Coturnix japonica: one gene and its partners. The protein of the gene in region 1 interacts with the protein of each later gene in a pairwise test. Links are inferred from orthologs where the notes say so. Each region holds a gene or a part of one and is shown on either strand. Other genes may lie near its edges.

The links.
Region 2: the proteins of HOMER3 (region 1) and SNRPF interact in binary tests that used the Homo sapiens proteins (3 or more experiments, as listed by UniProt). The two-hybrid records come from large-scale screens. The link is inferred for Coturnix japonica from reciprocal best matches to the Homo sapiens genes HOMER3 and SNRPF.
Region 3: the proteins of HOMER3 (region 1) and FRYL interact in binary tests that used the Homo sapiens proteins (3 or more experiments, as listed by UniProt). The two-hybrid records come from large-scale screens. The link is inferred for Coturnix japonica from reciprocal best matches to the Homo sapiens genes HOMER3 and FRYL.
Region 4: the proteins of HOMER3 (region 1) and PSMA1 interact in binary tests that used the Homo sapiens proteins (3 or more experiments, as listed by UniProt). The two-hybrid records come from large-scale screens. The link is inferred for Coturnix japonica from reciprocal best matches to the Homo sapiens genes HOMER3 and PSMA1.
Region 5: the proteins of HOMER3 (region 1) and EIF3D interact in binary tests that used the Homo sapiens proteins (3 or more experiments, as listed by UniProt). The two-hybrid records come from large-scale screens. The link is inferred for Coturnix japonica from reciprocal best matches to the Homo sapiens genes HOMER3 and EIF3D.
Region 6: the proteins of HOMER3 (region 1) and WIPF1 interact in binary tests that used the Homo sapiens proteins (3 or more experiments, as listed by UniProt). The two-hybrid records come from large-scale screens. The link is inferred for Coturnix japonica from reciprocal best matches to the Homo sapiens genes HOMER3 and WIPF1.
Region 7: the proteins of HOMER3 (region 1) and PAX6 interact in binary tests that used the Homo sapiens proteins (3 or more experiments, as listed by UniProt). The link is inferred for Coturnix japonica from reciprocal best matches to the Homo sapiens genes HOMER3 and PAX6.

Annotation. Positions count from the first base shown.
Region 1 is NC_029543.1:2,761,741-2,764,269, forward strand, and holds part of HOMER3 (homer protein homolog 3), read left to right. Parts: intron 1-46; coding exon 47-235; 3' UTR 236-2,529. UniProt on the Homo sapiens protein: Postsynaptic density scaffolding protein. Binds and cross-links cytoplasmic regions of GRM1, GRM5, ITPR1, DNM3, RYR1, RYR2, SHANK1 and SHANK3.
Region 2 is NC_029516.1:41,569,987-41,573,029, forward strand, and holds SNRPF (small nuclear ribonucleoprotein F), read left to right. Parts: upstream 1-1,410; 5' UTR 1,411-1,564; coding exon 1,565-1,567; intron 1,568-1,651; coding exon 1,652-1,777; intron 1,778-1,878; coding exon 1,879-1,943; intron 1,944-2,417; coding exon 2,418-2,484; 3' UTR 2,485-2,543; downstream 2,544-3,043. UniProt on the Homo sapiens protein: Plays a role in pre-mRNA splicing as a core component of the spliceosomal U1, U2, U4 and U5 small nuclear ribonucleoproteins (snRNPs), the building blocks of the spliceosome.
Region 3 is NC_029519.1:59,904,090-59,907,589, forward strand, and holds part of FRYL (protein furry homolog-like), read left to right. Parts: intron 1-389; coding exon 390-575; intron 576-1,898; coding exon 1,899-2,103; intron 2,104-2,272; exon of another isoform or gene 2,273-2,323; intron 2,324-2,977; coding exon 2,978-3,099; intron 3,100-3,500. UniProt on the Homo sapiens protein: Plays a key role in maintaining the integrity of polarized cell extensions during morphogenesis, regulates the actin cytoskeleton and plays a key role in patterning sensory neuron dendritic fields by promoting avoidance between homologous dendrites as well as by limiting dendritic branching.
Region 4 is NC_029520.1:14,583,674-14,586,873, forward strand, and holds part of PSMA1 (proteasome subunit alpha type-1), read right to left. Parts: intron 3,122-3,200; coding exon 3,020-3,121; intron 2,160-3,019; coding exon 2,056-2,159; intron 1,237-2,055; coding exon 1,148-1,236; intron 494-1,147; coding exon 423-493; intron 201-422; coding exon 71-200; intron 1-70. UniProt on the Homo sapiens protein: Component of the 20S core proteasome complex involved in the proteolytic degradation of most intracellular proteins. This complex plays numerous essential roles within the cell by associating with different regulatory particles.
Region 5 is NC_029516.1:47,223,708-47,227,693, reverse strand, and holds the start of EIF3D (eukaryotic translation initiation factor 3 subunit D), read right to left. Parts: upstream 2,801-3,986; 5' UTR 2,683-2,800; intron 2,458-2,682; 5' UTR 2,447-2,457; coding exon 2,324-2,446; intron 1,241-2,323; coding exon 1,195-1,240; intron 805-1,194; coding exon 668-804; intron 566-667; coding exon 480-565; intron 21-479; coding exon 1-20. UniProt on the Homo sapiens protein: mRNA cap-binding component of the eukaryotic translation initiation factor 3 (eIF-3) complex, a complex required for several steps in the initiation of protein synthesis of a specialized repertoire of mRNAs.
Region 6 is NC_029522.1:15,023,208-15,026,707, forward strand, and holds part of WIPF1 (WAS/WASL-interacting protein family member 1), read left to right. Parts: intron 1-546; coding exon 547-723; intron 724-1,901; coding exon 1,902-2,663; intron 2,664-3,500. UniProt on the Homo sapiens protein: Plays a role in the reorganization of the actin cytoskeleton. Contributes with NCK1 and GRB2 in the recruitment and activation of WASL.
Region 7 is NC_029520.1:4,663,366-4,666,865, reverse strand, and holds part of PAX6 (paired box protein Pax-6), read right to left. Parts: intron 2,831-3,500; coding exon 2,748-2,830; intron 2,508-2,747; coding exon 2,357-2,507; intron 2,237-2,356; coding exon 2,121-2,236; intron 1,180-2,120; coding exon 1,029-1,179; intron 415-1,028; coding exon 329-414; 3' UTR 1-328. UniProt on the Homo sapiens protein: Transcription factor with important functions in the development of the eye, nose, central nervous system and pancreas. Required for the differentiation of pancreatic islet alpha cells.

The DNA of each region.
Region 1 (2,529 bases):
ATCAGTGCCGGGGCAGCCACCTCACTGCAATTGTGTCCTTTGGCAGGAGCTGGAGGCACGCAATGCAGAGCTGGAGCGCCGCCTTCACCTGGCCGAGCAGACGCTGGCAGAGACCCTGTCTGAGAGGGAGAAGATCCAGAATGAGGTCACCAAGGTGGCAGAGATAATGGACGTGAAGATTTTTGAGCTCAGTGAGATCCGGCAAGGACTAGCCAAGCTGGTGGAGAGCAACTGAGCAGCAGCATGCTCAGAGGAGACACCTCCGGAGGAGGGGAGCCTGACCTGGGACTGGTCACTGACAGCAATTTTGATCACAGAACAGCCTTGAGGTCTGTTTGGGCAGGATATGCCAACGTACCAGCAGCTGCCTGGACAGTGTGGTGACCAGCCGCAGCCACTTACTGCCCACTGAACAACGAGCTGGAGAGCAGAGAGGGCCTGAGCTCCTGTATCCTCCACAGGAAGCATCTACAAGTCACAGTCAGGCTTCTCTGGACCTTGTCATGGCTGTGGCACGGTCCAGAGACAGCAGCTGTCCCTCTGCTGCCTTCCCAGCCTCCCTGCTGCCACACTGTGTCTCACTGTGTCTCCAACATTTTTACAGTTTTCTAGGGGAAGGGGCTGAGCAGCCTTTGCATTTATTTTTTTTTTTTCAGTAGTTTTTTTAGGGAACCACTTGCCTTTTGCAAAATAAGCTGCTTGTTTCCCGACTTAGGGAGGGAAAAGAGGTATCAGCACTTTGAGGAGTTCACTAGCTCCTTTTCCAGCCCTAACTACATCATGTCTTTCTAACAGGATGCAACAACACTGGTTGCTGTCAGGAGCTTACAGAGGTAGCGGAGTCACCACTGCAGAGCAGGGTGCTTGCCTGCCCAAGTGCTGTTCAGTTCCAGCCTCCAGAGGAAAAAGAACTGCAGGTTTTAAAGCTCTTATTAGCTTAACACAGTGGGATTTAATGAATTCTTAAAACTTCTTTAAGCTGAGAGCAAAGGCCTGGTTGGGAAAGGGGCATTTGAGAAATGGGACATGCCCAAGGGGATGGCCAACCAACTGCTAGATTGGCATCTCTCCTGGCCTCTAAGGGCTGTAGTTAATTGAAATTAAATGGAGCAAATCACAGTTGCTCTTGTTTGGGTTCTTTTTTTCCCCCTCTCTTTTATAGGGAAACAGTCCACAGAGATGTCCTGCTCTGTGTCAGATGAGCAGTGTTCCTTTTGAAGGGTACAGGTCCCAGCTTGCCACGCTTAGCCAGATTAAATGAGAACAGGAGGCATTTGGAGCATGCTGGGACCAGTGCCCTGTGGGGCCTGTGGGAAGTCTGTGGGTTACCGTAGATGTTGTCTAGTTGTAGGAATCAAGCAAGGCCTGAGGGAGACACTGCAGAAACCTGAAAAATCATGTCTCTCTCATAGTGTCCTTTGAGCCCCCGTAGTTAGTTAGGAGCATGCATAGCCCTGTGCTGAATGACAAAGCAGTGTCTGTGTAGAAGTAGATAGTAACCTTACAGGAGTGCTGATATGGATTTTGTGGTTGTTTTTTTGCCCTCTTTGCTTCCATAGGTTAAGCAAAGACAGCAGTAACCCTGGGAATGTTTCCCAGGTCTGCAGAAACTGTAATTACTTAGCAAGCACTGGCTGCCATGTAATGCCTTCTCTGCATCCAGATGGTCCTGGGCAGACCAGCATCAAGGCAGGGCCTCCCCGTCCTTTCACTCACGGGGTGACCAAGAGAGGAACCCACATCTTCTGCACACTGCCTGCAAGTTGGGACAGGACTGGGTCTGGCACCTTGGGAATCTGCTGGAGTGGAGAATTGCTGGTGACTCTGTGCTGGATTGTGTCTAGGCAAAGCCCATCCCTTGCACAGGGATGATGAGGAAACACTGAAAGTTCCAGACCTGTGTAGCCAGGGAGGGGTGTTTCTGTTTGGAGGATAATTTTCTTGTTTTTGTTTTTTTCTTTCTTTTCTTTTTTTCTTTTTAATATTCTGTTGTTTTTGTTGGTATTGGTTTCTGTTTTATTTTGTTTTGCATGAAGTTTTCTCACAGCTGTGTAGGGGTGGAGCTGTTGTAGTCATATTTGTTTCAGGGTATTTAAGAAGGGAAAGAAGCTGGCAAAGTTTTCTGGGGTCTTGTACCCATAGCAGTGTTCACATTTTATTCCAACAGGAGGAGCCTTTGAAATAGAGATCAGCTCCAAGAAATGCCTGTTTTGTCTGCATCTGTTACTGTAATATGTGGTGATGGAGGTGGGGTTTGGAGTATGAAAGAAAAACTAAGCCAAAGTTGACATTCTGATTGTCCCTGCTCTCTCACACTTCTTTTCCATGGCTGTGCCCCACAAGGTGGAGCTGGATACAGATTCTGCCCGTGCTCTGCATCTGAGCCCATGCCTGTGTTGTACTGCTCATTGATCAGGGCTGACCTGGCCATTGTGCCACACCTGGGTGAGTCAGCTCTGCTGAGGGAGGCTGCTCTTAAGAGACAAGGGAGAGGACCAGAGTCAAGCTGCTGCATGACTGTGTGGGAGA
Region 2 (3,043 bases), on another chromosome or scaffold:
TGGGTCACTACTCTCTGTGTGAGAAACTTTCTTCTAATATCTGACCCAAACCTCCCCATCTCAATTTAAAACCATTCCCCCTTGTCCTACAACCATCCACCCTCATAAACAGTTGTTTCCCTTCCTATTTCTACCCTCCCTTCAAATACTGGAAGGCGACAATGAGTTCTCCCCGGAGCCTTTTCTTCTCCAAGCTAAACAAGCCCAATTCCCCCAACCTTTCTTCATAGGAGAGGTGCTCCACCCCTATGATCATCTTAGTGACCCTCTTATGGACCCATTCCAAGAGTTCCACAGCTTTCTTGTGATGACGGCTCCAGGTCTGGGCACAGTACTGCAGATGGGGCATCACAAGAGCTGAGCAGAGGGGGACGATCACCTCCCTCTCCCTGATGGCCACCCCTTTTTAATGCAGCCCAGCACACCATTGGCCTTCCAGGCTGCAAGCACACACTGCTGGTTCACATCCAGCTTCTCATCCACCAGGACCCCCAAGTCCTTCTCCAAGTCATGCATCAGAGGAACTGACTATATGAAGAAAAGAATGTAGCTGGTCCTGTACTTCTTGGTACACAGCTTTCCCAACACAAGTAGGAGACATGATAAAAGTTGGTTCCAAACCTAAAAAGTGCTGTTTACAGACAAAACACTCATATTGTTCTATTGTCATTCACATATACACCATTAACAACTGTCAGAAAAGTGCAAGTCTTCCATGGCCTTTAACCCAAAGGACTCATGCTGAGCTCATTGCATTCTGACGCCTTGTATGTTTTCACTCCAAGTTCTCTATTCTTTGCTGCAAGGGGCATGAAAACCGTCCATATACACGATTTCCCACATTGTTTATTATTTCCTACATATCCTCAGCACTAACTTCCTTGCAATAAACTTATAAGCAATTCTCTTTCAACTGGCGCCCAGTGAGTTTTACTGTCAGAAAGAAAAAAAAAAGCTTTATTTTAACGTTATCTCTGTTCCCCAGCCAACACATGAGGACAAACACATCCATTATAAATTATCACAGAAACAAATACGAGTGCACTTCAGATAAACATTTATTAAGAAGAATCGTAATTGCTGCTCTTATCCTATCCATCCATAAAGGTAGGGATGTGAGGGGGGACATTCTGGATCTGCAGAAGACACGGTGTGAGGCAGCCGGGGGCTGAGGGAGAGGTGGACAGGGAAGGGGAGGAGAGGGATGGAGGGGCAAAGGCCTAACAGAGCAGAGCGGCGGCACAGTGCTGCGCTGCCACCCCCCGGCCACCACAGACGACACAACCAGAGGTGGTATACGACCATTGGCTGGAGCAATGAGGAGGGCGGCCATTCCAACTAATAAGATTGAGCCCACAACCCCTTTTCCCTTCGCGCTCCGTGGCTCCGTAGCCAATCGCGAAGGCGGCGCGGCGGGGTGAGAGGTTGGAGGTCGGCGCGGCGGCACGGAAGTGGAAGTGGAAGGTATCTCAGCGCTGCCTTCCATTCTGCCTCAGCCCGCGGCGCGCACGAGGCGATCCCGCCTGGCTCTGCGCTTCTCGGGCCGCCATCGCGCCCCATCGCCATGGTGAGGGCAGGGCAGGGCAGGGTGGGGGGAGGCTGTCGTTAGCGGTTGGGATGGCGGGCGGTGCTGACCATTGCTCTCCCCTAGAGCCTGCCGCTCAACCCGAAGCCCTTCCTCAACGGGCTGACGGGGAAACCGGTGATGGTGAAGCTGAAGTGGGGGATGGAGTACAAGGGATACCTCGTCTCCGTCGACGGCTACATGAACATGCAGGTGAGGGATGGAGGGAGGGACCCGGGCCTTGCTTGCTTGTGGGAGGGAAGCAGTAGTGAGGCTCCTGTTGGTGTAATGTTTGTGCTGATTTTCGTTCCAAGCTTGCAAACACAGAAGAGTACATCGATGGAGCACTGTCTGGACACCTGGGAGAAGTTTTGATAAGGTAATCGTGGTGCCTGAGCTGGGGAACGGGGTCTTGTGGGGACTTCTGTGTCTTGTGTTACTGCTTTGTTGAAGCTGGTGGATCTAGGGGATGTGCTTGTGTTTTAAGTTGAAAGAGGGAAGATTTAGGTTGGATGTTAGGGGAAAGTTCTTTACTAGAAGAGTGGTTAGGTCCTGGAACAGGCTGCCCAGTGAGGTTGTGGATGCCCCGTCCTTGGAGGTGTTCAAGACCAGGTTGGACGGGGCCCTGGGCAACCTGATCTAGTAAATGTGTATGTTTGGTGGCCCTGCCAGACAGGGGGGTTGGAACTACATGATCCTTGAGGTCCCTTCCAACCTGGGTAATTCTGTGATTCTGTGTGATTCTGTGTATTGGAGCACTAAATGCTGCTGTAACTCCCATGTGAAGTGAACATTGTATTTGCGAGGGAAATTAAGACATTTCAACTAAGGGAGCTCTTGATTCTATTTACAGGTGCAATAATGTTTTGTACATCAGAGGTGTGGAAGAAGAGGAAGAAGATGGAGAAATGAGAGAATGATGATTTGTATATCTGGAAATAAAGGGTTTTTTTTCTTTTTTTTTTTTTCTTTTCCACAACGTTGTCATCAGGTGTTTATTTTGTTCTTGTATTTGACTATGGGGGGAGTTCACCCAGAGGCTATAAAGAGTCATGAATTTCAGTGGCATTCATAGAGCTAAAACAGCCTGTGGAATGGGAATGCCTGATCTCAATCTGCAGTATTATGGAAAGAACACACAAAACACTAACAACAGGCCACTCTTTGTTATCAGGCATCCAGATAACTGAAGTTTTGGCAGGAACATAATTGCTTTCTCAAATGTTAAGAGCAACCATTGACATTAACCGAAGCTGTTCTGTACCTATCAGCATTTCCTAAAGGTAACCATTGCTTTGCTGATGCTGCTAGTCAGAGCCTCCCCTTGTGAAGGATCTACTTGCATCTCTAGGCTGGAGAGAGGTTCTACAAGCCAAAACACAAATGGCTGTACCTCATGGATTTGTGTGTGACTTTGCGCTGTCTCATCAGTGACCATTTGTCTTACATCTATTCTCAAATACACAGGTATACTTTCAG
Region 3 (3,500 bases), on another chromosome or scaffold:
TTCACCTTTCCCTTTGCCTTCTTGTAGAAGACAAAGTGAAATTCTGCTTATTTTTTCCTTCTGTTTCCTTTCTGTAATTTTCATACAGAGAGCATATTAATTTCTGACTGCTGTGTAAGAAATGAGGATATATTCGTGTTTGTTAAACTGTGTGCTTTGTTTTTATATTTGAACACTGAAAAAAACATCTATGTATGGGAGAAATAGCTTCTGTATCTAGCAGGAATCATGTGTGCAGTTAATTATTTCCCTATGTGTCAATCTGATAAAGTATAACAATTGGAAGATGTGCTATTTTTGTAATAATCAAATGTGTTCTCTTGTTCTCTGCATTTAATACAACTTTTTTTGGTTTTGGTTTTGTTTTTGTTTTTTTTAATCTGTGTTAGGTTTTGACCACTGTCACCCTGAAGTTTATGAGCATTGTAAACGACTGCTTTTGCATCTGCTGATAGTGATGGGATCCGGCAGTAATGTCCAATCTGTTGCTTCTGTCCTACTCAGAAACAGAGAGTTCAATGAATCCAGGATGCTTACTGTCAAGCAAACTACACACTTAGATTATACTTTTACAGGTATGCTTTTGGACTTCTTAAAATGGCAGAAGTTTAATTCTAGGCTTTATCTCTTTTACTTTACTATTTTTCAGAGCCCTTGTTAGCAAAGTACATTTTATTTCAGCTCCGCTTAGCTGGCTAAAAAGTATTTTAAGACCGAATGAGTAATGTTCACATTCACACTTTGTGCCCCGTTGTCAGAGTAGTGAGCTCAGTTGAGCAATTAATTAATAATTAAAAAAAAAACAGAGGAAATTCTATGCTTTGGGTCTGTAACAGCACAGTTTTTAAGTTGTTTATAAAATAATTAAAAAACAAAAAACAAAACTAAACAGGAAAAAGCATCTCTTTCTTGGGCATAAGAACTTTGAACTGTTGACTTCAGTCTTTTGTGCTTGTTTAATAACCTAGCACAGTATTCTTGTGAGGTCTACTTAAGCATCACAATATCATTATGCAATAAATAATATGGGTTTTTTTGTGTAACTGTGAAAATAATAGGTGTAAGCCTAATGTATTTTCTAAAGAAAAGAGTATTTCATATGAATTCAGTAGGTGGCAGCACATTGCTATAAAATCTGCTGGTTCCATTCTGAAATCAGAAGTGGTTTTGTTTGTGACCAAAAATAGGCATCTGTTTTCTGCATCTGATAATTCACAGTTACGGGGAATTAAAAAGTGGGCACACTCAGGGAATTATTTTATATAAACCTGTTCACAGGTGTTTGTCTGTGGGTTTCAAGTTTATTGCAGTCAGAGATTCATGACTGTCTTCTTTTGTCAGTTTGCTTTCTCCTAGCAGCTTGTCAATGTAGGCATAATGCGAGGAGATGGTACAGTTCTCTTTCATGGCTGTGTGGTTCTTTTCATGGAGAACAGGAACTGTATTAAGCTAACTTCAGAAGCTGTGCAGCTAGAAAGGCCCTACTTGGAACTGATTCACTAGTTAAAACTTCTTGTTTGCTGACTTAAAGTGCTGGTAGTTACAGTAGGACTGAGTTTTAATCAAAAAAGAAAAGATCTGCGTGTTATTTGTAAGCAGTTTGGATCACTTGTCTCAACTTCCTCTATGATGAGGTGCTTCAGAGGCTGTTGAGCTGTAGTTTCACTGTATTAACAATACAAAAATCAAACAGCGTCCAGTGATTCAAAAGGGAGAATCTAACTGTTCCTTATTAAGGGTTCAGTCATGCTCAGGCTTTGATTTCATTTGAAATTATTGCATCCATGAAATTATTCTCATTATATTTGTTAATTTACTAATTTTTAGAGGGCTCATTTTTCATTTTATTTATTTAGTATTGAACTGTTGAACTGATAATGGTCTCATTTTTATTTCAGCAGGTGTTCATGATTTTATACCTGATTACCAGCCCTCCCCAATGACTGACTCAGGGCTTAGTTCAAGTTCTACCTCTTCTAGCATCAGTTTAGGAAATACGAGTGCTGCCATGTCTCATATGCACACCACCATCCTCAATGAGGTTGACATTTCAGTAGAGCAGGATGAAAAAGTAAAAACTCTCATAGAATTCATTACCTCAAGGTAAGATATTCATTTCCATTTTTGTTTAGAGAAATGTTGTATCAGTATGAAAATCAAATCTGACCCTGAAGTGTTTCTATGTGGTGTAGTGTGTGAACAACCCTACATCTCCAATTATCTAAATGAATTTGGCCCCTTTTCTTGTCCTGAGTGTTTAAAAGTCTTTTACCATGTTCAGCATAGGTTCACTGTCATTGCCTTCCTCATAGTTTCTTCCAACCTAGAGAAAAAATACAGAAAATTATTAGAAAGCTGCAAGATTTGTGGGAAGGTTATGGATTGACTTACAGAAAACAGCTGGGAACATGTGCGGGGGGGGGAAGACATTAGTGGCAAATAACATCTGTAGAAAAAAAAAAGCAGCACTTGTTTAGTTTATATGATAGCGTATATAAAGCTTTCAAAATCATCTAAGTCTGAAACCCAGCTTGCTTAATCAGAAGTTAAGAGAAACTTGCCAACAACAGAAACAAGATTTTCATGGCCATGAAGTTAGAATAGTGTGGTTTATTGCTGGGAAGAAAAAGGTATGAAAGAATGTGGTTTTAACAGTTATATAATAGTGGTAGCAGTAACTGGCTTTTTGTTAGGTAACTAAATATCACCTAATGGAGAGCATCTCTTTAGATTTACATTGTTCAGTTACAATTGATCCATTGCTTTTCACTGTTTTCCTACTTTTCTGTGTGTTGTTGTAGAGATATTAAGCTGTTGTCAAAGTTCTTTGATTTGTGTCTGTAATTCTGAGTGGCTTTGTTTATGTGATAGGCAGTAGATTATTTTGCAGTTACTTAAGGCAAAAATAACATTTAATACCAGTGACAAAGGCCATGGTTTTCATTCTGTCACATTTGCTCTGTTTTTATGTTTTTAGGAAAAGAGGGCCACTTTGGAATCATGAAGATGTTTCGGCTAAGAACCCCAATATAAAGAGTGCTGAACAGTTAACTGTATTTTTAAAGCATGTGGTATCTATATTTAAACAGTCTAGCTCAGGTAAGCTAGAAAACAGTCAAAATATGATAGAATGTTCAAATCTGCAAACAGCATGATTTTTTTTCAGCGCCAGCAAGTTCGCAGATGCTCTATAAAATGACTTTATGATGGCCTCCTGCTTCTAAAAAGTGCTGATTTTTCTTGTGCATCACACGTTTCAGTTCATGCTTCTGTTGAATTGGATTTAAATATGATGTTTTAGGAAAGAGATAAATATCTTACTAGTTGTGGGCATGACATTCAAATCATTAGTGTTTCATTATCAGCAAGTCTCTCAATCTGGAAAGATTTTTCCAATGAGTTTTCCTTGAGGAAGAATGTAGGAGACGAGAATATTTTGAAGTTAAGAATAAATTCAACAGTTTTACTGTTTATTAAAATCGGGTATTTTTGTGGGATTT
Region 4 (3,200 bases), on another chromosome or scaffold:
AATGGAACAGAGGCAGAAAATAAGCTGTGTAATTGATAAAGATCATTAGATAGCCAAGTTCATTACTCACAGTCAGTAAATTCAGTCATGTGTCTTTCCAAGTAAGTTCGTGCTGACTGCGAACGAGCACCAATGGACATGGCTTTACAGTCAAAATAGTTTGCTGAGGGACAAGTCTGGAAGATGTGAGGGCCCATATCCTACAGGAAGAAAAAACATAAAACAAACACGTAAACTCCTGTAGGAACACACGATATTTTCTAAAACAGTTTTGCTCATAATACATTACATAGTTTATATGCATGCAAGTAAGCATCCTACATTGCTTACTATACCACCATTCCTATCCAGCTCTTGCAAAGCTATTGTTAAAAAAAAAATAAAAACAAACGCAGTGTTTGTAAAGAACAGTTTTTACTTACATCATAACCTGCAATGAGCAGTCCTACACCATATGGTCTTCTGCCATAGCGCTGCGTTGGTATCTGCGTTTCTAAAGTAAGCTAAAGAAGCAATCTCAAAGGCACGTGTTAATCACACTGAAAACATTTTCCTGAGCAATGCGCAAACACTCCAAAATTGTTGCGTAGCCTTTACAAAGCTTTCTGTGCTATCAAAGGCCGTGTTTGAAGAAATAGTCCTCGGGACTTATTTGGAACACCAGAGCTGGCTCTTTTTCACCAAAACATTTAGGAGCTGGCTTTCCCAGAAGAACTGAGCAGTGCATTCAACCAAGTAATACAAACAGTTCAGTTAATGCAGCCTCATTTAATTTCTTAGCCCTTTAACTTTACCTAGGCACCTGATAACAGAACACAAGGCCTCCTCTGTGCTCCAAGCACAGAGAACATTAATTACCACAAAAAAAAAAAGTAAGCAAGCAGCTGCAGTCCAGCAAATGATCATGTTTTGTGCAGTGCAGTCATATTTCCACCTCCAAAAACATGGTGCTATGTAACAAAAAACCAGCAGTGAGTGAAATGGTTCATAGCATTTTACTGCCTTTATACCAGTACGGAGTTCTGGGATGTCCTCTGAAAGAATTAACACACAATGTGAATGAAGAAAAATCACCTCTTTAATTAACTTTTTCAGTTTAGCATTACTTTTAAATTATGATATATATAATATATATTTTAAAGGATACTGCTTCCAATTAGTGACACCAAACGAGATACTGGAAGAGGTCTATCAAACACAAATCTAGAATCCAGACACTCCTGACGCATAAAATTGCTAGAAGGAAAAGGAAGAAAAATCAAATCAGTGTATAGACAAAAGCCACACTGAGTTTTCCTCGGTATTTGCCTGTTAAGTGTATTCTTGTTCCAGCTCCGCTTGTTGAGAAAAGCAGCCGAGGGCATTACACAATTTCATTTCATTGTGACTTATAACTGTTATTTAGGAGGCTGACGACAGGCTTGAAAGAGTCTCAGAGCATTTCACCCATACCAGCCAAGGGAAGGTGGAAGTGTACCAGGCCACATGTTAAGTCTCTGGGAAAAAACCCACAGTTAAACAGTAACGTATCTTTGTCATCTTACAGCAAATAAATTTTACTTCAAAAATTCTACTTATTAAATTTTACTTTAAAAATTCTTCCTATTCCATCTTTGTGTTTTCCTGCATAACCAGGGAATCATCTTCTTTTTAGTATATATTACCTTCTTTGATCAAGCCATGTGTGGTCTGCAGGTAAAAGGGAAATCTGCCTGAAGCTGGTACGTTCAGCAGTGTGTTTTTCATAACAGAAGCAGCTACTAGAGGGAAATAGGTAATGCACTTGTCCAGACTGCTTGAAAGCCCCACCACACCAAGGAAACCAGACAGTTACGGTCTCACAAGTAACAAAAGCAAAGAGCGAATTTCGGGGCCAAACAAAGGAGTTTTCTGCCAGCAACTTAAATTCCTTCCAAAATTTCATATTGAGGTCTTTGGCAAAGCACAACAGACCAAGGCCAAACTTTAGATGAACACAAAATTTTGTTTGCAGTAGTCTACATGTGAACTTTCACTTCTTGCAGAACCGTGTGTGTCAACAGCTAAGATACTCACCACAAGAGTCTTGCATCAGCTGTAAGTCCAGCAATTGAGATACCGATATGGTTGTCAACATACAGGATTTTCTTCTGATGAGCTGCCAGCTCAGACTGCGCTCGCTACACACAAAAGGAGAGAACTATGTGGCAGACTGACCACTTTGCCAAGCACTGTGGAGCAATCTGCTAACATTTATTGCAAGAACCGAATATGATCACAAAACAGTCAAAACATCAGCAATAGACAACAAACAAACAAAGAACGATCTGTAAACTTGCAACAGAAGACAAGAAAAAAAATAATTCCACTTCAGTGAGAGACTGTCAGGAACAATGATCAGATGCCCAAGGTTTCCAAGGTTTGGAAAAGGAAGTGAGTAGTTTTGCTGCTTGTAAAGGTGGTAACAGAGGATGATTTAAAGGTGGCTAATATAAATATATTGACCAAGATGGTGATAAATAGCCAAAGGTTATCAGTAAAGAAAACTCACCAATGTCAATGCCTGGACCAGATAGCTGAGGCAGTCTCCACTGGGGAGCGATCTCCAAGAGATGCTCCTCAGTGGTGGTCAGCCCTTAAATGAGGTCTCAGAGGAGGTGGAGTCAAAGTCCACCCCTTCCAGGAGTACAGCTACATTACGCTCACCTGTGCTCCCGCAGCTGACCCAACACTTGCCTCAGCTGATTAATCAGTGGTTCAAGCTGTGATTTCCCATATACTGCTTTATAACAAAAAAACACAACAACTCTATCTTTTAAAGTGAAAATCTTTCACTCCTTTCCTTCACCCATTTTGAGAAAATCTGCTTAGCATGGGTACTGAAAATGCTTATATTTCTTTACTGACACTAATGGAAAAGGAAACTGATACTGCATTTATTTTATGCACAGATAAAAGTTCAGGACTTTGCTGAACTAATTTGCCAGACTAAAACTTCTCCACTAACACTGGTGTTTGCAGAACAGAGTTTTAACCTTACCTTTAGAGCAACCAGAACAGCATGTGTTTTTGACTTCAGCCCCACAGTGGCTGAGCCTTGCTTCACAGCTTCCATGGCATATTCTATTTGATGAATTCGCCCCTACAGAATAAAATCAAAGGTAGTCATTCTGAAAAATAGTACAGGTGATTAATTTTAACAGCTTTTCATTTACAGACTT
Region 5 (3,986 bases), on another chromosome or scaffold:
TTTGGAGGCGCAAACGATCCCTACAATGACAAATAGGTGAAAAGCCATTACAACAAGTTCTCAACACAAGAAGCTCCCTGCCACGACTCCCACACTTCCAAATAATCACCAGAGGAACAACGTTTGCAGGCTGAGAATTTGGCTATCCAAACAACTGAAGTGTTAAGAGCTTTGTTCTGCACTCTGAACACCCTTTATATGTTTTTATCCTTAATGACCACAACACAGTTTCCAGGAAGAGCACATCCTGCTTTAAGTTGTCACACTTACCTCCTAAACTTGACTCAAAACATCTCCTAGATTCTTAAATAGCTGCCTGAAATCCATGCTTGTAACTACTGGGCGCATCAGCAAACATTAAAATACCCTGAAATGCTTTGCTAGGAACTTTGGTGGGTTCTGTTACAGTAACTTAAATTACTCGTTAACAGTATGTTCACACACTCCAAGTACAGAATGCTTGTATGTGAAGCCCGCACCTCTCTTTCTGCTTGGCACTCTTTGGCAGCGTCTGCATGCTGAACTGCAGCATGTTCCGGCGGTCCTTGTCTCTCCGAAGGTTCCTCTGTGGGAATGCAGCAAAGAATAAAAGGACAGATTAGTGGCAAAGTAATTCTGTATTGCTCAATCTCTTTTTTTGAGCCTGTTTCTGAAAGTAAAGCTTTACCTGTGCAAATCGCATGCGATTCCTCTGGTATGCAGTTTTCTGTGTCCGGGCTGTATCCACCAACTGGAAGCTGGTCTCATCCTCCTCATGGAAATACGCATATTGACTTCCACCACCAAACTGTGATGAGTACTTGTCTGGAAATAAAATAAATCATTTTGCTATGAAGCTTGGAAGCAAAAATATGACACTCCACCCGCCCCCCCAGTTTTCCTCAGTAGCCTTTACTCAAGTCTAATGCATCAACTAGGACTCCTGCATTAGACTGTCACATTGCCTCCCTGCTCTGAACCTCCCAGAGAAGCACCAGTCAGCACATGGAACAAACCCACAAGGGAACCCTAAGGGCAGGGAGAGCCCCACGCAGCTCTCCAAGCGGTGAGACACGCTTCTGAAATTAAAGAGCCTCCTCTGCTGAGGTGTGTATGTAGCCGGTAGAGCCAGTGGGAAACACGAAAGCAGGGATGACGTTTGAAGTAAGCTTTGCACAAAATAAATAGCAGGAACAGCCATTGGACAACACGTACTTGTGTATCTCTTATCCTGATACGTGGCTCCTGTCCAATCTGCCACCTAAGGACAAAAATATACAGTAAAAAAAAAAAGCAAGTGTTAATATGATGTGTGTGTCGTCCCCCCCCCCAGTAGGGCCTCAAAAGGCAAAATAAGGGACTGCTGTATGCACCTCAACTCCCACCTCCATAAGCAAGCCTCACAGAATGCTCACAACTGTCAAGGTGCTGGAGAACCATATAATGTCATATCTCAGAATGGCTCAGGTTGGAAGGAATCTTAAAGAATATCTAAATCCTGCCCCCCACCAGCTCATTCACCGGCTTTAAGCTGCAGGTGTATGGGCACCACAGCTCTCTGGGCAGTCTGTGCCAGCGCCTCAGCGTCCTCTAAACAAAGAATCACAGAATGACCCGGGTTGGAAGGGACCTCAAGGATCATGTAGTTCCAACCTGCCTGGCAGGCGCCAAACATACACCTTACTAGATCAGGTTGCGGGCCCGTCCAACCTGGTCTGAACACCTCAAGGACGGGCATTCACAACTCCCTGGGCAGCCGTGTCCAGGGCCTAACCACTTTCCTAGTGAAGATTCCCCTAAAATCCAACCTAATCTTCCCTCCTTCAACTTAAAACCATTTCCCCTAGTCCTGCTATTATCAGCCTTTTGAAGAGTTTACTCCCTCCTGGGAGTAGTTCCTTCAGTACTGAAAGGCTGCAATGAGGTCACCCGCAACCTTCTCTTCTCTAGGCGAACACCAACTCCCTCAGCTGTTCCTCATAGGGGAGTGCTCCAGCCCCTGATCATCTTCGTGGCCTCCTCTGGACCCTTTCCAAAATTCCATGTTTTTTGTACTGAGGGCTCCACACCTGGACACAGTATCCAGATGGGCTCACAAAGCAGAGTAGAGAGGACGATCTCCCTATCCTGCTGACCACCTCTCCTGATGGAGCCCAGGATCCATTTGCTTTCCGGGCTGCCAGAGCGCACTGCTGGCTCATGTTGAGTCTTTCGCACACCAAGACCCCCAGGTCTTTCTCTGCCGAGCAAAAAAAGAGACCCCTCCCAACGTCTAACCCAGCTCCCCACTCTGGTAGCTCAGCAGAGGCACAGGGGTGCACCCAGCAGCCACACAGCGCAGTACCTTGCCCAGGCGGTCCCCCTTGCTGAAGGGCTGGTAGGGCATATCCTTGAACTGCTCGGGCACGGCGCACGGGCCCCAACCCGAGGGGTTGTCCTGGATCACGGGGGTCACGAACTTCGCCATGGCTCACAGCCCTGCGGGGAACAAGCGGAACGTTCCTTCAGCACCCGCCCCGTCGGCGCCACCGTGAGGGGAAGGGGCACCGAGGGAGCCCGGAGCGGGCGCAGGAAGGCGGGGGCGCCGGCCCGGCCCCACCGGAACCGGCGGTAACGCCTGGGCGGGGCCGGGGGTCGCGCTGCCCGCGGGCCGGTCCCGGTAGGACGGCGGAGCGTGACGGGGCGGCCGCGGCGTCCCCTCACCTGAGCGGCCGCGTTACGGCCCCGATGGCGACGGATACGACAGCGGCGGCGACGGCCGGCGAGGAAAGGCCGCGCGCAGCCCCGTCCCGCCCTTATTGCGTCAGCACTGCGCGACGGCGCCGCCGCGCACCACCGTCGTAAAAGAGAGAGAGCGAGGGGGCGGAGCGCGACTGCCGTAAAGCGCGGATCTCCCGTTAGGCGCAATGCGCCCCGTGACGTCACCGCCGGCATCGGGCTGTACGTGGTGGGGTGTGACGTCACCACGGCTTTTACTTACCCGGGGGGTAGGGAGGGGGCAGGGTGGGTTCGTCGCGTGCCTTACATAGGATCATTAAGGCTGGAAAAGACCTCTAGGATCACCCGGTCCAACCATCAGCCCATCCCCACCATCCCCATGACCACGTCCCTCAGTGCCACATCCACACGGCTCTGAACACCTCCAGGGACGGTGACTGCACCACCTGCCTGGGCAGCCTGTGCCACTGCAGCACCTTCCTCATATCTCAATCTTTCCTCATATCCAACCTGACCCTCCCCTGAGGCCATTCCCTCTCACCCTATAACTGTTACCTGTGAGCAGAGGCCGACCCCCACCTCACCACAACCTGTTTGCAGAACGTCCCTGGGTATCTTGCACCATCTGAGTCTAGATCAATATTTTGCAGGCAGAGCACCGTGCATTTCCTCCTTTATTTACTGCGTTTAAACCCTCCTCGAGAAATAACCGAAGCAGTCTGCTTTGCCAGGAGGCTGCGCCATTAATCAGAAGTCGGATTATTAAAGCAGTTTTCCCCGCTAGCAAAAAGAGAAATCCACTTACAGAAACACGGTTTATAAAATACCATTTGTAACTCTCACAGGCAAACAGCCTTTGTGGTGACAAACGTCAGTGCTGGAACAGCCCTGGATATCACAGACTCAACCTGAGCATAGCCACGTTCAAGTCATGCTTAGGAAACGTAAAAGGAAGTCCCAAAGAGCAAACGGAATGAAGAAAGAGAAAACAACTAGACTGATAAACCTAGACTCTGCATTCCCCCTGCTTGCCTGTTCCCTTACAGTCCTGTGTGAGGTGCTGAAAGGCAAGTGTAGCGCTGCTGCTGCCTGCTGAAGAGTGCTGGCACTTCGGGCCCAGCCCCTCAGGCTGCCTCGTCTGGGAATGGAGCTGGGTATTAGTGTGTCTCAGAGGGGAAAGCAAGCACAGGGAATGGCCATCAGAGAACAAATGCTCTTTTAGGCACATCATAACCTACCGGTTTCTTATCAAGAGGAGAAACTTCAGCTGCAAGAAAAATCCAGCCTTG
Region 6 (3,500 bases), on another chromosome or scaffold:
CTTTATGTTGGGAAAAAAAAAAAAAAAATGGCAGCTAATGATCATCTCTCTGCATTTGTGAGCATAGAGGAAGGTCATCAGTAATTAAATCTCTTCCATGCACTCATCAGAGGTGCCCCCAAGGGAAAGAACACCTCTATCTTCCTCCCTCATTCTTCATTTTCCTTATTTACTGTCCTTCGCTTGGCTTATGGAGTAATGAAGGTGAAGGATAAGAGAGCAATAGTATGAAGAAATGGAAAGCAGCTACACAGATGTTAACAAAGACAACATGATATTCTCAGAGGTTCCATCCATTTTTCAGTTCCAAATTCTCCAGAGTGACTGTTTCTCTGCTTTCCAGTCCTGAGCAGCCAAAAGGAAAGTGATGGCTTAATAAAATTCAATAGCTGTGTTTATTGCTCCACCTCTTCCATGGCACAATAGTGGTAGTGGTGGCTGTGACCTTTTTTCTCCACTTACAAAAGTTGCTGTAATGAAAGAGAATACTTCGTAGGATCAGCCTCGCTTCTCTGCATAACATGGTTTTGTTTTTTTTTCCAACAGAACCCAAGGGAAGCGGTGGAAGTGGCGGTGGCTTTGGAGGAGGTGGCGGTGGCAGCGGTGGGGGTTTTGGTGCTGGTAGCGGTGGTGGTGGCTTCAGTGGTGGTGGACCACCTGGTCTTGGAGGACTTTTTCAAGCAGGAATGCCAAAGCTCAGATCTGCTGCGAGTCGAGATGCTGGTAAGAAAGATCTTGCAATTTCAGTGCAAACAAGTAAATGACACATTACTTATATTAATTACATACCACAACAATAAATTACCTGCTGGGATTGAGAATGCCTTCAGATATCTTAGGCTATCAAGAAATGAAATTTTCATCTTGAATCTTGTTTCATTCTTAATACTAGGTTTTATGAAGAGGAAGTGAGACCCCCACTTTCCACTCCTCCTAATTATTGATGAAAACTAAAGATCTTGGCAGTGTTGAGTGGCTGCCTGTGAAGTAGGATGAGGTCCTGCCTTAGCTGTGGGTGTGCAGGACCAGAGAGGAGCACAAGAGGAATATGGATTATTTCTTCCTTCTGTACCAGGAAAAAGATCAACTTTCCATTTGGAAAGTACATCTGCGTCAGCTCCTCAGGAGTGTGATTTACCACTTAGGGAGTGCATGAGGCATCCCAGCTGGATGCTGCGCGTGCTGCAGTTGGAGGGCACACACTGCGTTCTTCTAGCTGGCAAAACAGCTGCCCCTTCAAACAAAGGAGATCAGGATGTAGCATTTCACACTTGTTGAAGGAGGACTGGACAACAGGGGTCATAAAATATTACAAATCCTGCATATTTTATGGACTAACGTAATTTTTCAGCACATTTGTACAAAACAGTCTCTCGGAGCTGGTATTTTCTATTGTGTCATGGTCTATTTTGGGAACTTGTATTAATGCAAAAGTTCCTGGCACAACGGGACAGTGTTTCTTCAACTGCAAGGCTGGCTGCCTTCTTGCTGACATACACAAGAACACAAGTAGTTCACAGATACTAGAAAGGGCTGCAAAGCCCTTTTGCTGGACAGTTGTTGTTGTTAAATGCCATTTCAAAGCTACAGCTCTTCTTGTTTTTGGGTTTCTGGTATCAAATAGTTGCTCATAACCAGTTCTTCTCTTCCTTCCTGACATTATTGCTTGCTCTGTGAAGGCTGTATACTCATGTTGCCTTGCAGTCACTTGGGTCCCCCACAGGCCATTCCTCATGAGCTGGCAAAACTTAACTACTGTGATGCAGATCCCAAGTAACACTGAGATTGCTGCTGACTGTTCCTGTGGAGCATCCCCAAACACTTGGGCAGCTGTGTTGCTGTGTGAGGAAAGTCCTCTCCATGGGTGCTGATGCCCTCTGTCTGTCTCTCTTCCTGCACAGATGCTGGGACAGCCCGCCCACCTGCACTGCCACCTGGAGCCCGCTCTGCTGCTGCCAAGCCATTCTCAGCACCAAGTGGCCCACCTCGCTTCCCAGGGCCGCCACTGGGGCAGCGGAACCCAGCTGCTGACCCTCAGAGGAGCCGCCTGCCGCCACCCAGGCCTGACGTGGGTTCTAAACCTGAAGCCACACCACCACCAGTGCCCAGCACACCCCGGCCCATTGCCTCCAGTCTGCACGGACGGAATTCAGCACCAGTTCTCAACCGTCAGCCCAGCTTGGGGCCAACACCACCACCATTCCCAGGCAGCCGGGGCACAGGGTCAGCTGGCTCCCTGCGGCAGTCTGGCCCAGGCCCAGCAGCCCCCTACTCGGGCAGACCACCACTGCCACCCACACCCGGTCGCTCACCGTTGGATGAGAAACCACCACCACCACCACCTCCTTCCGGGCACCGACCAACTTCCAGCCGGGACATGGCCCTGCCGCCGCCACCACCGCAGAACAACAAGCCACCTGTACCCGCTTCACCGCGGCCACCCCTTGGTGTCCCTGCTCCCCCGCCACCCCCCAGCAGGCCAGGACCACCCCCTGTGCCCCCTGGTCCTGCCAGCAGTGATGAAATGCCACGACTGCCCCAGAGGAACCTGTCCCTGGTGCCCCCTGCTGCACCCAGCTCTGGGGGTGGCCGCTCCGGCCCCCTGCCACCGCCACCCAGCGAGAGGCCCCCACCGCCCATCAGGGATCCTCCCAGCCGAGCAGGTACGGGGTTGGGGAATGGGGCTGTTGGGTACAAGGGATCCTGCAGTTGAAAAATGAGGGCTTGTGGGCACCACTGTGACTCAAGGAACATTACTGTGCATTCCCAGCTAACTCACAGATCTGGGCAGGTTTTGTGTAGTTGCTGTAACAAAAACAGGGCTGCCCACCAGGTTCTGTACTGACAGGGACCTTTTCTACCCAGCTCCTGTCAGGTGACAACATTCACCTTCCTGAGTCATCCAGCGTGCGTTAATGGCAGTGTTGTCATGAGTGGAAAGCCTGGCCTTCTACGTGTTGGAAGGCACAAACACAGCAAAATACTAATTACTTTAATAGAAGGCTGATCTGACAGTTGTTATACAGGAGGCAGTTGCTGCAGTGTGACTAACCATCATTACCTGCTAGACACAGATTCCAAATGAGACTGAAAATAGCGTTGCCTCCATCAGGTTGTTTCATCACATGTTTTGTCCTCTGACAATCACTGTTTGTAACTTTTAAGAGTTGCACCTCATGACTCTCAGTGCCTGATGGCTTTCTTTGTGGAGCTGGAGGAGCTGAGGTGCAAATGGTCCCCATGACACAATGAAGTTGCACCTCAGTGCACTTGCAGAGGCTGGCACATGGCTGCCTGGCTGCAGGAGTCATCTCACGTTTGTTGGGGGGCACAGAGCAGTGCTACAGAGTACTGCTAAGACTGTTTAGAACTTCTGTGACTGCCTCTGCTCCCACAGGAGGTTCCTGGTCAGCTCTTCTCTGATGCAGATTTTAGTAAATGCACACTACCTTCCTGCTGACTCAATGAGCAGAAAGAAGCTGGAGATATAAATTATAAAT
Region 7 (3,500 bases), on another chromosome or scaffold:
AACAACTTCATGACCAACACAGATCAAACATCCATCCAGTCTACATTGTTCTTTTTTTTGTTTTGTTTTGTTTTCATTATAACATACAAATGCCCATTTACAAATAATACACCAAAATGAATAAAAGTTTGGATACCAAAATGAAGATTTGTTCCAACCGATATAATGCCTTCAGTGTACAAAGGTCCATGTTAGAGTCTTTTCCATGTGTTACATCGTAGGGCACAGTTGCAGTACAGAAGTACTCTGAGAGCCATTCTTCCTTTAGAAAATACTGCTGAACATCCAACTGTTGTCCATATAGTCATTTACAGAATTAACACATGTTTTACTGTAATCTTGGCCAGTACTGAGACATATCAGGTTCACTGCCAGGAACTTGAACTGGAACTGACACTCCAGGGGAAATGAGACCTGAAAATTGAGTGGGAAAATGGATATTTTAGCTTTTCTATAGATAGCACAATATTTGCTCACCCATTTCAGTTTCGTATGATGCCTTGTATCCACCAGCCTGCAGGAATGGGCTGGGGGAGGATACGCTTTCAAAGCCTATGTGCATATATTCGAGCTGTTATGAATAAACTGTCATATTTGAGGTAAGTGGCAGAGCCCCAGCTCTATGCTATCCACTGGGAACTCAGCCTAAAATACACTGAACATTCCTATTTTTTTAAATGTCCCTCTGTTGCTCCCGGTGATACTGACAACCTTTTACCCTGTTGTGCCTTATTAGCACGGGTCAGTGCTCCCAGAGTTACCTGCCTCTTAGATAACAGAGCCCTGGCAAGCAGCATCCTTTGGTGTAGACGCAGCAGTGACATGCTCAGCCCCGTGCACACTTCACTTTGCAGCAAGCATGGCTGTGCCAGTGCCTAGCACCACAGTGAATGCTGCTGTGCTCAGCCACAACGAGGTCTGCAAAAGGCTAGTGAGCTCCCTCAGAAGCCTCACCCCACCCAGCTGTGGGCATGGCCTCATTAACCCAGTGCCTCCCACCCCCTCCCCAGCTGAGCCCGCTTGCTCACCTGTGGAAGTGGTGCCAGAGGTGCCCATGGGCTGGCTATTCATGTGTGTCTGCATGTGCGGAGGGGTGTAGGTGTCATAGCTCCGGCCGTTCACTGACGGGCTGGTGGGCAGCATGCAAGAGTAGGAGGAGGTCTGGCTGGGTACCGGGGGCTGCAAAGATAGAGCAACGTTAGGTGTGGGGACAGCCCTGGGGCTCAGCGTCTTGGCATACCCGCACACATCCCCTCCACCCAAAGGTGCCAGTGGCACAACACGGCCACAGAGACCTGCTCACACCACACCTCCACCCAGAGGTGGCTGTCAGGCAGCCACGGGAGCAGGGAAGGCCCAGCAGGGCCACAGCCCTGCCTACAGCCCTCTTTGATCCTTTGTCGGCTGCGCTGCCCGCCTCCAATATCGTGAAATAAGGGCTTAACCGGCGCAATTCCTTTCCCTGAACTTGAGAGACTCTAACTTTATTTGGTTAATTTTGGTTCAGCAATTAGTAACATGGTAATTGCCGCGGCGAAGGAGTCAGGCTCTCTAATCGGCTCGCCCGTCTCCAGCAGTGGTCAATGCTGCATGCCTCAGACAAAGCTGCACAGCTCCCGTAATTGGCCAGCACCTTCCTAGGCCAACCCCACCATTAAAAAAGGAGGAATTTTGCATCTGAAAGGTCTATAGAAACGGACCCCAAAGGAATAGATTTCTTCCTCACCCAGCTGGTGATCAGCTAATGCTTTCAGGCATGAGGATTGACAGCTCTTGCAATTCTGGCTTAGCTGGCAGAACCACTGATGCTAATCGCACCCTCCCCTCACTCAGGTGTCCCTCACGCGCTTCCCTCCTGCAGCGGAGCACTCCAACAGCACTCCGACAGCACACAGCCCCGTTGCCATGCCTTAATCTCAGGGTGGGCATTCTTATCTGAAATGGGGTTCCTCACACCGGACCTGCTGCCTCACAATTGTAAGGTTGGAAGAGACCACTAAGACCATCTAGTCCAACCCTCAAGCCATCCAACCATCAACCGTTTTGAGGACCCTTCCCTTCTGAAATCCCAGAGCAGCGCTCATCCGAGCACCATGCCCTTTCTGCAATGCTGTGCTTACTTGCATAGGCAGGTTGTTGGCCATGGTGAAACTGGGCATGGGCGGCAGCGCGCTGTACGTGTTTGTGAGCGCCGTGTCTGTCCTGCCCAACATGGAACCTGATGTGAAAGAGGAAACTATAATAGAATAGACAGATAGATGGAGACATTAGTTTAACCACAATTGCGCTCGGTGGCACAGTCCCACGGTCTCGGTGTCCCGAGGATGGCTTCACGCGGGCGGGTTGGCTGCATTACCGGGGGTGGTCGGCTGTGGGATCGGCTGGTAAACGCTTGTGCTGAAACTACTGCTGATGGGGATGTGGCTGGGAGTGTTGCTGGCTTGTCTCCGCTGATTCCGCAGCTTCTCCTCCCTTCTCCACTTGGCCCTTCTGTTAGAAAACCACACCTGGAAGCACAGCGTTTGAGGCGTGAGTGGCCCGGTGGGGCGAGGGCATGTGGCTCCCCAGGGCACCCAGCACAGAGCTGCCCCACAGCACAGCAAAGCCAACCCCATCTGCTGCTACTTCCTGATGGAGGAGATGGGCAAACACCCAGCCTAACACCTGGCTTCAGGAAGCCACTCATAACAAATTACGCTGGTAAAAGGAAGAATGATAACAGTGGTAACAATGTGGCATCTCTGTACCTGTATCCTTGCTTCAGGCAAGTCTATTTTAGCAGCTAGTCGCTCTCTCGCAAACACATCGGGATAGTGGGTCCTCTCAAACTCTGCAAGGAGAAGTATTGCCATGTGAGTTGTAGAGAACAAGTGTGGCTGATGGTCAAGTCCAGCCCTGTGGCACAGCCGCACCGACTGTGCCTGCAAGAATCAGTGCTGTGAGGCAGCGCTGAGCTCCCTGAATAAATGTGTGCTGGGAAGGACCCCAGGTTGTGGGCCATGGCAGGGCTGGGGCTGAGCATGATATTCTTACCCCTGTGAGGAGCTCCCATGGTACCCTGACCCCATGACCAAGAAGCCGAGTGGCACGTGGCTGCATGATGGCAGGAAATCTGGGCAGTGAGCCGGCCACGGCTGGGGAAAAGGGCACTGGCTGCCAGCCTTGGGCAGCAGCAGCACTGGGGATGGGGAGCAAGCATGGTGCTGGCACTCAGCACCCAGTCCTACCTGTACCCAGTGCCTTGTCCTACCAGCATCCAGTACCCTGCTATGCTGGTACTCAGTTCCCTGCCCCACCACCACCCAGCAGGAGGAGGTCAGCCAGGAGTGCAGCACTGCACTGAGCCCTGCGCTGCCCTTTCTGTTCTCCGCAGCCATCGATGGGGGTCGGAATGAAATGGCATGGAAGGAGCCAGGGGCCTCAGAGCTGTCGGTATCTCTATAAGGCACGTGAATGCCAGGAATCTGCTCAGCTCCTAATGTAGCCAGGGTGTCTCTTGC